Macaca fascicularis: one gene and its partners. The protein of the gene in region 2 purifies or fractionates together with the protein of the main gene of each other region. This does not show direct contact. Links are inferred from orthologs where the notes say so. Each region holds a gene or a part of one and is shown on either strand. Other genes may lie near its edges.

What was found.
Region 1: the proteins of AURKB (region 2) and PPP6C purify together in Homo sapiens (affinity purification with mass spectrometry, with the first as the bait; 3 studies listed by BioGRID). This does not show direct contact. The link is inferred for Macaca fascicularis from reciprocal best matches to the Homo sapiens genes AURKB and PPP6C.
Region 3: the proteins of AURKB (region 2) and G3BP2 purify together in Homo sapiens (affinity purification with mass spectrometry; 3 studies listed by BioGRID and IntAct, with this or other methods). This does not show direct contact. The link is inferred for Macaca fascicularis from reciprocal best matches to the Homo sapiens genes AURKB and G3BP2.

Annotation. Positions count from the first base shown.
Region 1 is NC_088389.1:18,908,331-18,911,981, forward strand, and holds part of PPP6C (serine/threonine-protein phosphatase 6 catalytic subunit), read left to right. Parts: intron 1-965; exon of another isoform or gene 966-2,506; intron 2,507-3,396; coding exon 3,397-3,645; 3' UTR 3,646-3,651.
Region 2 is NC_088390.1:8,284,754-8,288,242, forward strand, and holds the end of AURKB (aurora kinase B), read right to left. Parts: coding exon 3,449-3,489; intron 3,249-3,448; coding exon 3,054-3,248; intron 2,766-3,053; coding exon 2,627-2,765; coding exon of another isoform or gene 2,617-2,626; intron 2,517-2,616; coding exon 2,368-2,516; intron 1,256-2,367; coding exon 1,081-1,255; intron 910-1,080; coding exon 736-909; 3' UTR 600-735; downstream 1-599. UniProt on the Homo sapiens protein: Serine/threonine-protein kinase component of the chromosomal passenger complex (CPC), a complex that acts as a key regulator of mitosis.
Region 3 is NC_088379.1:58,151,880-58,155,630, forward strand, and holds the start of G3BP2 (ras GTPase-activating protein-binding protein 2), read left to right. Parts: upstream 1-1,212; 5' UTR 1,213-1,341; intron 1,342-3,751. Other genes in the region: USO1 (general vesicular transport factor p115), read right to left, coding at 732-797.

The DNA of each region.
Region 1 (3,651 bases), on a different chromosome or scaffold from region 2:
CTCAGTCTCTCGAAGAGCTGGTATTACAGGTGTGAGCCACTGTGCCCGGCCGGCCCCCTTCCTTTCAAATACTGTAATTAAGTAACAAAATGTCAAGACCAAACTAGGCAGTACTTTTTTTTTTTTTTTTTTTTAAGACCTCAAATCACACAGATACAGACACTTTATTAGTTTCCTCTACAAGAGCCAATAACATCAATCTTTTTTTTTTTTTTGAGACAGAGTTTCACTCATATTGCCCAGGCTGGAGTGCAGTGGCGCAATCTCGGCTCACTGCAACCTCTGCCTCCTGGGTTCAAGCAATTCTCCTGTCTCAGCCTTCTGAGTAGCTGGGATTACAGGTGTGCACCAACACGCCTGGCTAATTTAGTATTTTTAGTAGAGATGGGGTTTCACCATGTTGGTCAGGCTGGTCTTGAAGTCCTGACCTCAGGTGATCTGCCCACCTTGGTTTCCCAAAGTGCTGGGATTACAGGCATGAGCCATCGCACCTGGCCTATGTCAATCTGTTTTTTTTTTTTTTTTTTTTTTTTGAGGCGGAGTCTTGCTCTGTCACCCAGGTTGGAGTGCAGTGACTGGTCTTGGCTCACTGCCAGCTCTGCCTCCCAGGTTCATGCCATTCTCCTGCCTCAACCTCTTGAGTAGCTGGGACTACAGGCGCCCGCCACCTGGCTAATCGCTTATATTTTTAGTAGAGATGGGGTTTCACTGTGTTAGCCAGGATGGTGTCGATCTCTTGATCTCGTGATCCGCCTGCCTCAGCCTCCCAAAGTGCTGGGATTACAGGCATAAGCCACCACGCCTGGCCTTTTTTTTTTTTTTTTTTTTTTAAAACAGAAATCTCTGTTCATTTGAAATGCCAAGTAGATCCAAAGAAGGAAGATGGCAATTAAATACTTAAATTAATCAAAAGGCACTATGAGACCACCTAAAACCTACTGCCACAGTGGTAGTAGGCTAAGGAAGATCAAGCTACAGCAAATCATGTAATGTGAATGTTAGCGATTACATAGCAGGAAGCACATTTGCTTTCCAGAGGACTATGGTGCCGTGTTCCTTTGGGCGCAAGCGGATATTTGGCCAGGAAAGGATCAAGATGGATGAAAGTAAAGCCAAATCAAAGGAATAGGTACAAAAGAGAATCCAAGCTACGTAGTCAAGCAGATGATGATGAATCAGGCTTCTTCCTCCCAAGAAACATTTGCTGCACTGTGCTGCTTCCCCCCTCCACTACCCCCACCCCCCACCCCATGGCTGCTCAAGTCCAACTGCCTGTTCCTGCCTTACAGGGTGCTCAGCCACTGGGACTAGGTTTGGGGTTGCCCAGGGCTCTTGCCATAATTTAGCATAGACCTTGGGGAGAACTGCTCACACATGGGTTGGCTTTGTTGCTAGTTGTTCTCAACAAAGAAAACCCTGAAGCATTCACATGCAAGGTAGTCTGAGCTTCTCCAATCACAGTCAGACACCCCCACTATCCTCAAAAGTCTGAAATCTTGTAACAGCTGAGCTCTTGTTAAAGCTGCAAGACTCACAAAATCATCAAGGAAGCCAGAATGAGACAGTGCAGGTAGGAAGTCCCAGCAGTTAATCTCAACCCGTCTTTCTCCATTTCGGATAAGCTCAGATATACCTGATGTGGGATATTGAAAGCTACACTGGAGTAAGCTGGGTCTTCTGAATTTGTCATCAAATACCAAGGGAAAACAAGGGGTGGGGTGGATTTTATTCTTAAAAAACCTCAGAAGTAACTGTGTTATAAAGGGACATGACTGAATAGGTAAGAAATGGATTCTTCATTGTGAGTTTTCCTGATGGCTTCTGCAAGGATCACAGAGATGTCGATCACCTGTATTTTGGAGCGGTGCTTCATCTTGTCGTCCTGGGGTATGGTATTGGTGACTACTACTGCTTTAAAGCATGCGTTGTTGATGTGAGAAATAGCTGGACCACAGAAGATACTTGGAGTCAAGATAGCATAAACTCTGGTGACTCCAGCTAAGAGAAGTTTGTCAGCTGCATGGCAGATTGTGCCACAAGTGTCAACCATGTCATCCACAAGGATGGCCACCAGATCCTTCACATCTCCCACAAGCACCATGCGATCCACTTAATTGGCCTTCTTTGTGAATCAAGGCAAAGTCCACATTCAGCCTGTCTTCTATGGAGTTCACTCTCTTAGCTCCACCAGCATCAGATGAGACAATAGTGCAGTTCTTCCACTCAGAGATATTCTCCCTTATCCACTTCAGGACACCTAGGTCTGCATATAAGTAGTTCACTGGGATGTCAAAAAAAACCCCTGAATTTGAGAAGCATGTAGGTCCATGGTGATAATATGATCTGCACCTGCTACAGATATCATATTTGCAACAAGCTTGGCTGAGATTGTCACCCGAGTCTTGTCTTTCTTATCCTGCTGGGCATAAGGGAAGCATGGGATGACTGCAGTAAGCTGGCTGGCTGAAACAATCTTGCAGGTATTAATCATGATTAAAGGTGCCATTAAATTATTGTTGATTTCACCACAGCCACTCCGAATGATGTAGACATTCTCTCCACGTACACTTTCGCCAATTTCCATACAGGTCTCCTAGTTGCTGAATTTCTTAGTCACTACCTTGCTGAGCTCCAGGCCCAGGCAGTCAGCAGTTTTCTGAGATAAGTCCTGGTGGGAGCTGCTGCTGAAGATTTTGATATTCAGGATCCTGGCCAACTATCCTAAGCACTCTTCACTAAGTGATCACTGCTGCTGCAGAGACTGGAATCAAAGTCGGTCCAGAGACTCAATGCTAACAGCTTTGTGATGCTACCCCACCATCTTCAAGATAGGCAGTACTTTGAACTTTAACTGTTTTCAACTAAATACACACACACACACATGACTTTATATTGGGAAGTGCTCCAGCATCATAATGAAGTCAGAAAACTAGATTCTGATCCTGTATCAGTGCATCTTAATTTAGATAAGTTATTTATCTAGTCTGAGCTTTTGTTTCCTTAAGTTGCAAAAGAATAATCTCTTTCAGAATTATTGCAACATCTATAGTAAACTGTAAACATACTATCAGTAAATTGTAGATACTGATAGTAATATCTTTATTATTAAATCAGAAAACACAAAATTTTGATTCATAGTACCTATTGAATGCTTTTTCTTCCAGAAATTTCTAACTATGTAGCTATACAGTTTCTATAGCTGTGTAGTTGACTCAGGCCAAAATTGCTCTGTTTGCCTAAACTTATTAAATTGTTGGGGATAATTATAGAGTGGGTTCTATAATCATGATGCATTTAGTAGTAATAGGATTTGGTATTTGAATGATTATTTTCTTACGGATGTAGGGTAATTGTTTTTTAAGTGCTAAATACTTACAGTGTCTTTCTAAATTGCAGTTTGTTCATATCAACAACTTAAAACTCATCTGCAGAGCACATCAACTAGTGCACGAAGGCTATAAATTTATGTTTGATGAGAAGCTGGTGACAGTATGGTCTGCTCCTAATTACTGCTATCGTTGTGGAAATATTGCTTCGATCATGGTCTTCAAAGATGTAAATACAAGAGAACCAAAGTTATTCCGGGCAGTTCCAGATTCAGAACGTGTTATTCCTCCCAGAACGACAACGCCGTATTTCCTTTGAGGCCTT
Region 2 (3,489 bases):
ACTTTTTTTTTTTAAGACTGAGTAAACTAGGAGTAAATAGGCCCTATTTAACCTGATAAAGGGTATCTATCAAAAACCTACAGCAAGCATCATACATGACAGTGAAACCTTGTGTCAGGAACAAGACAGAATCACTACTGCTTCTATTGGCTCCTGTACTAGATCCTGACCAGAGCAGTAAAAGAATCAAAGACAGTTTCTAGGGTACAGAATTGTTCAGCTGCTCCTACGCTGGCAAAGGGGCAGAGAATGAAACAGAAAAGGAAAAACTAGAAGTTGGACAACCAAGAGAGAGGTGAAAGAAGGTGGCCAGAGATGGCTGGTGTTCCAATGTAGCAATGGGGAGCCAGGGCCCCCAGTGCCCCCGGGCTCTGGGAGTCAGAACAATGGAAAGAACAGACAGGGTAGAGGTGAAAGTGGGGGTAGGGGTGGGGGTGGCTGGGAGCTGACCAGGTGGGTGTCAGAGCTGAGAGGGTAGGGTGTTACCAGGGATAGCAAAGCAATGCTCATCCCAGCTCCTCAGGGTGAGCCACCTCTCCTTCTAGGGAACAGCTTCCTCCACAGCAAAGCCTCCACCTAGAAACATCTACACTCATCAGTACAAAAAGCTTCAGCCTTTATTAAACAAAGGAGGAGGTAGAAGACAGATAAGGGAACAGTTCAGGATCCCTTCTTTCCCCTATACATACACAAACATACAAAACACAGACACACCCCAGTGAATGACAGGGACCATCAGGCAACAGATTGAAGGGCAGAGGGAGGCAGCACCCTCCGAGAGTTGGCCCGGACCCAGGGGTGGGCTGAGACCTGGGCCAGGGGCAGCCGTTCCGAGGGGTTATGCCTGAGCAGTTTAGAGATGAGGTCCTGGGCTCCCGTGGGCACAGAAGCGGGGAACTTTAGGTCCACCTGCAGGTGTGAAGAGATGGAAGGGCTGCATTACTTTCACCCTGGCTACATCTTCCTTGACTACCCATTCTGTCTGGAGTTACTTAGGGCCACGCGGATACACTCTGCCCACCCCCAGCCCCCCAGCCCCTGGCCTCTGCAGCTGGCACGAAGCCCAGGCCGCCCTCCCACCTTGACGATGCGCCGATAGGTCTCGTTGTGTGATGCGCTCTCAAATGGTGGGTTTCCCACCAGCAACTCATAGCAAAGCACTCCAATGCACCACAGATCCACCTTCTCGTTGTGTGTGCGCCCCTCAATCATCTCTGGGGGCAGGTAGTCCAGGGTGCCACACATTGTCTTCCTCCTGGGAGGGATAAGGGGCGTGGGCAGGGGTCCCAGTGACATAGGAACTCTCCTTTCCCTGCTACCTGATGGCAGGGAGCCAAAAGACCACGGGAGGTACCAGGGGAGAGGTCCAGCCAGGCAGGGTTACTGGAGTGGGGGTGGGGTTGGGGTGATGACATATCTGAAAGCCCCAGAGGTAAGCCTGCACACAGCCCCAGCAACTCCACGCTGAAGGATATGTCTTAATGAGATACTCCGCTATGAGGGCAGTGTTCATTTGGAGTTCATTTTGGAGTTCACTGGGGACATCTCTAATGCCCATCAGGCATGTTCTGCTTAAATAAATCAGCTACTATGTGATACTATGAAACCGTTAAAAAATGATGTGGGAGGAAAAAAGGCCACTGCTCCGGGCTTTTTTGAGACAGAGTCCAGGCTGGAGTGCAAGGGGGCGATCTTGGCTCACTGCAACCTTTGCCTCCCGGATTCAAGTGATTCTCGTGTCTCAGCCTCCCGCACAGCTGGGATTGCAAGTGTGCACCTCCATGTCTGCTTAATACATTTTGTATTTTTAGTAACGATGGGGTTTCGCCATGTTGGCCAGGCTAGTCCGCTAGCCTTGAACTCCTGGCCTCAAGTGATCCACCTGCCTTGGCCTCCCAAAGTGCTGGGATTAGCAGGCGTGAGCCACCGCACCTGGCTAAAGTTTTACCATTGGCTCATACGGGGATCAAACCCATGACCTTGGGGTTCTTAGCACCACATTCTAACCATTTTGTTTGTTTTTTTTTAGAGGAGTCTCACTCTGCCGTCCAGGCTGGAGTGCAATGGCGCAATCTTGGCTCACTGCAACCTCCGCCTCCCAGGTTCAAACAATTCTCCCGCCTCAGCCTCCCGAGTAGCTGGGATTACTGGTGTCCGCCACCATGCCCGGCTAATTTTTGTATATTTAGTAGAGACAAGGTTTCAGCATGTTGGCAAAGCTAGTTTCGAACTCCTGACCTCAGGTGATCCGCCCGCCTCAGCCTCCCAAAGTGCGGGTATTACAGGCGTGAGCCAGCACGCCCAGCCCCTGGAGAGGTTTTAATGGCCCCGCCTCACACCCAGGGCTGGCCTCCCAGGCCACCATACCTCAGGGAGGGCGCATGCACAGACCAGCCAAAGTCAGCAATCTTCAGCTCTCCCTTGAGCCCTAAGAGCAGATTCTCTGGCTTTATGTCTCTGTGAATCACCTTCTTCCCGTGGCAGTACATCAGAGCATCTGCCAACTCCTCCATGATCTGGGAGGGGCAACGACAGGCAATCAGACAAGGATGGACCTCCAGCTACAAGCAGCACACCCTCAGCCTCCAGCCCCCTACTGGCGGCCCAGGTGCCCACCCGCCCGGACCGTGGCTGTTCGCTGCTCGTCAAATGTGCGGCTCTTCTGCAGCTCCTTGTAGAGCTCCCCGCGGGGCGCATACTCTAGAATCAAGTAGATCCTCCTCCGGTCGTAAAAATAGTTGTAAAGACGCAGGATGTTGGGATGGCTGAGGGAAGAGACAGAGGAAGCCTCAGGCCAAAGGCATAAAAGAGCTGGGAAAGATAATAGGAGCAAACTGGGGTCAGACGGGGCCCAGGCTGGGGACACCAGGAATGGGAGTGGGAAGGGGAAACTGGAGGCAGATTTCTGGATTCAAGGCTCTGGCCAGGACTAAGGGCTAAATGGGGCTCACTAGCCGTAGCTACAGAGAACGCAATCTGGATGAGGTAGGGCTGAGTGAGGAGCTGGGGTGAGGGAGCAGAGGGGCTTCGGCTCAGGGGGCATCAACCCATACTGCAGGTGGGCCTGGATTTCGATCTCTCTGCGCAGCTGATGCTCCACGCCCTCCTTCTCTATCTGGGACTTGAAGAGGACCTTGAGCGCCACGATGAAATGGCTTTTCTTCTCCCGAGCCAAGTACACGTTTCCAAACTTGCCTTTGCCCAGAGGACGCCCAATCTCAAAGTCATCAATTGTGAAGTGCCGCCTGCTTAGAAAGTGGGGGAAGGCAACTCAGAACCGGTTTTGGTTATTAAGAGGTTTGCTTTCTCTCCGCTTCCTCATCTCATCCTGTCCCCCGCCCCACTTCTCTTCATCTCTACTCCTCCTGCCCTTAGGTTTTATCTTCCCGACTTCCTGCCCATTCACTGTCCCCTCACCTCCCTCCACCCCAAGGCTTGGGGCACTTACATTAAGATGTTGGGTGTCCCACTGCTGTTCTCCACCACCTT
Region 3 (3,751 bases), on a different chromosome or scaffold from region 2:
GCAAATCGTGTCATTACGAGTTCAGGCAGAAAGCGGTGGATGTGTCCCCAAAGGGGTTTGAGCGCGAAAGATCCCTACTACGTCCAAGGTAGCATTTGCCAAACGATATATATTTGGGTGAGCCCGAAAAGCGAGATCTGAACAAATAACACCAGGCAGAACGACCGCTCTTCCAGTTGATGGGACAGGAGCAGGTGGACTTGTGCTTCAAAGAATATCGTTTTATTCTTAGCCACATGCTCTCACCAACAGCTGGGTTTTAAACCTTCTCGCAGTCTTCCCCAACGCCCCAGTTTCAGACTGCAAGGGAGGGAGCAGGACTTCAGGCTCCTCTCGGCCAGTGCAGACACAGGCGAAAGGGAAGGAGGGAGGGAGGGAGGGGCCCACGGCCCCGAGGGGCGTGGGAGGCAGTTCGGGCCAGCTCGGCCCCGGAACCGTCCCTTCCCGGACGGTACCACCTGCGGACCACTCTCCTAGCCCGAGCTTCGGGGCCTACAGAGCTGTGGGGCGCGGCTGCCGTCAGTCCGGCCGAGCCGCAGCAACGGGGAGGGAGCTGGGGGCGTCAGTGAATAACTCTGGGATTTCAGGAGCGGAAGGAGGGCAAAGGGGGAGGTGGCATGTGGATCCCCCTCCATGGTGGGACGCTGGAGGTGACCTTCGGGTCTCCGAGTGCTCCGTCCCCGTCCCTGCCCGGACCCCTTCCCAAGTCCCAGACCCGCTGCTCCTCTCACCGTCTCGGCTTCTGTGTGCTGGGGTCCGGCACTCTGACCCCCCATTACCCCGCGGAGGAAATTCATCTTGCCGTTCAGCCACCAGGTTTACCGGCCCCTCCGGAAAAAAAAACGAAGACAACTTCCCCCGCCCTCCGCAGGGCCTGGCCCCCAGTCCCGCACTCTACACTCTCCTACTGCTGCCACCACCGCCTCCAACTCGGCGGCCACTCCAGCCCCCTAAGCCCGGAAACAGCCGCCACCAGCGGCCAAGATGCGCATGCGCGGGGACGTGGCATTACGTGGCGGCCCGAAGGTTGAAGGCAAAAGGGGAGCGGAGGCGAAAGGAACCTCGTAGCTAGGTTCCACCGAAGCCCCACCCACTGCGCAGGCCCCGCCTCCCGCCGCAGGGGCACGCCTCCTCCCGCCCTTCGCGGATTGATCCTGCTGGCCGCAGCCACCCACGTGGTCGAAGCCCGGCCCTGCAGGCTGGAGAGGATTTGATTAGACTACGCGTTTCGACTTGCAGGGTGTTTAATTGTTGCCAAGCGGGACTTACTGCAAGCTATCAAATCTGAGGTCTTATTTTGTTGAGTCGAAAGTGAAATTTTTCCTTCGGCCGACGTGACAGGTAAGGGTTCCTGGCCCCTGGGAGGGTTCGCTTGGTTTGACGGTTTACTAGTACCAGCGTTGTGGCTTTCTGATCCCGGTAAATTGCATTTATTTACAGGGCTTTGTTTGGTGGTAAAAAGGGTTACTAGACACCCCTCATTCCACTGCCACTGGAGGGCGCATTTCTCAGCTCTTTCTCTTCAAACCTGCTGAAAGGAATTCCTAGATCTAAACACCAGGTACACCTCTATTTTCAAGTGTCATCAGGAGGAAACCCACCAAACCCTACATTTAGCTTGCTAGAGAAATACATTGTTCTGCTGTGGCAGTTTGGCGAGTAACATAATGTTTTGTTATTAACTCTCAACCCCTGTGTTTTCAATTTTTTTTTTTAACATGAAAAAATGTCTTTCTCTAATTGATATGCCTGTTCCTTTGGCAGTGAGGTTGTCAGTACACACGCTTCTAGAATAGTCTTGTACATTTCTTGAGGCTAAAAAGCACAGGTCTAGTTAGCTAACTGACTCATGGACCTCTCCCCTTGGATTCCCCACGGGTCTCAGATTCAGCATTTAAAATTGAGCTCATCATCTACCCCTGCCTCCCGTAAAGAAAAAAGTCAATATGCTGCTTCTACTGTGTGCGTGCGTGCTCAGTAGTACCACTGTCCAAATAATTGCCTAAGCTAGACAGGAAGCTGGGAAGAATCTTAGACTCTGGCTTTCCACCCACACGTGTCCAATCAATAGTCATGTCCTATCATTTCTGTTTATAGAATATTTCTTAAATAGGTCCTCTGCTCTCCATCCTCGATGCGTGTGACATAGATTACGTTCTTCTCATCATTTCTCATTGAGATTACAGCAACAGCCTCCTAACTAGTTTGTCTGCATTCAGCTCTGGCTTCCTTCCAGTCCAATCTCCAGTCCATCCTTGGGTGAGACTAACAACAGCAAAACATCTGTTCATGTCAGTCCTCTTAAAATCTTCCAGTTCCCCATTCTTTCCAGAATAAAGTCCAAACTCCTTAGTTTGTCATACAGGCCTGTTATGATCTGGTTCCTGCCTACTTTTTCAGCTCCTGCCTCCCCCACATACTCTGGGCATTTTTCTCAGACCTGGATATGCCCTTCCCCTCCCTTCTCTTCATCAAGCAAACTCCTGCTATTCCTTAAGACTCAACTCTGGCATCATTCTTGAAAGCTTTCCCTAAAATCTAGGTACATATCTATATGTTAGCACTTTGCAGTTATTAATACTGTATATGGTGTACATTCAATAAATGCTTGCTAAACCAAACTGTTAAGGGCAGGACTATTTTATTCATTTTATATCTCTGTTGCTTACCACTGTCTCATGAAAGGTGATATTGATGGATAAATGAATAAATCATTGAAAGAATATATGAATATTACACTAAGGAGGAGGTTCCCTTTTTTTAATCTGTAAAGTGAAACTGTAGGGAACACATCATAGGCAATGTGTTTCCTAGGGCCAGGGTTTTAAGCCTGGGCAACTTGGAGAATGGTGGGGTCATACTGCCAAAAATACTGTGCACTAAGCATTGTCCTCTGCTTTAAAACTACACACTTGACATTTTACCGTAGACATTTTCCACGGGAGCATTTTGTTGCAGCCTAAAAAAAGTAGTAAATTACTCAGCATTTTTATTACTAAGAAATGGATGCAAAGAGCTTCACTTAAGCCCCTAAGCTTCACCCCTCCCTGAACCTCACTTCACCTTCTCACTGAACCTCACTCTACCCCATCATCAGGAATGAGGCTCATAGATGGAGTGGGCCACAAATGTCTATTACTCCTCTTATTTAATAATTGAAAAGAGTGCCTTGACATTTTAGCAAAGTTGTTTAAAGGCACCAGCCTTGTCAAATGTCCTGTTTTGTTTTAAACTTTGGTGAGTACAGTAGGTTACTGTACTTTAGTGAGTAAAGTAGGTTACTATACTTTAGTGAATATAGTAGTGACAGCTTACTATGAGTTTTCCCTGCATTTGACCTGTTTTCTTCCCTAACAGCATCCCCTGCACAGGAGTGATGGACAGTTGGGTGCAAAGGTGATGAAGGTGGGATCCCCGAGGCATTGTCACTAGAGAACAACCATGAGATGGACTCCTTATATCAGAGGAATAGTTACATATTAATCCACTTCTACTGATTTTGTAGAGTGAGAAAAGTCAGGGACTGTGTTATATTCCTGTTTGCACCCTTTAATCATCTAGTATAATTCCTTTAATATGGTAGATGCTCAGGAACTACCTGAGTTAATAAAGGAAGAGAAAACATGAACAAATTGTGACAGCCTGACTTGCATTGTTATACGTCTGGCTTTCATAAATCTAAGCATTCAGGATGAGAGTCTCATGAATCATTAAAATACACATAATCAAAAGTAAGAATGATTCTTCTTTT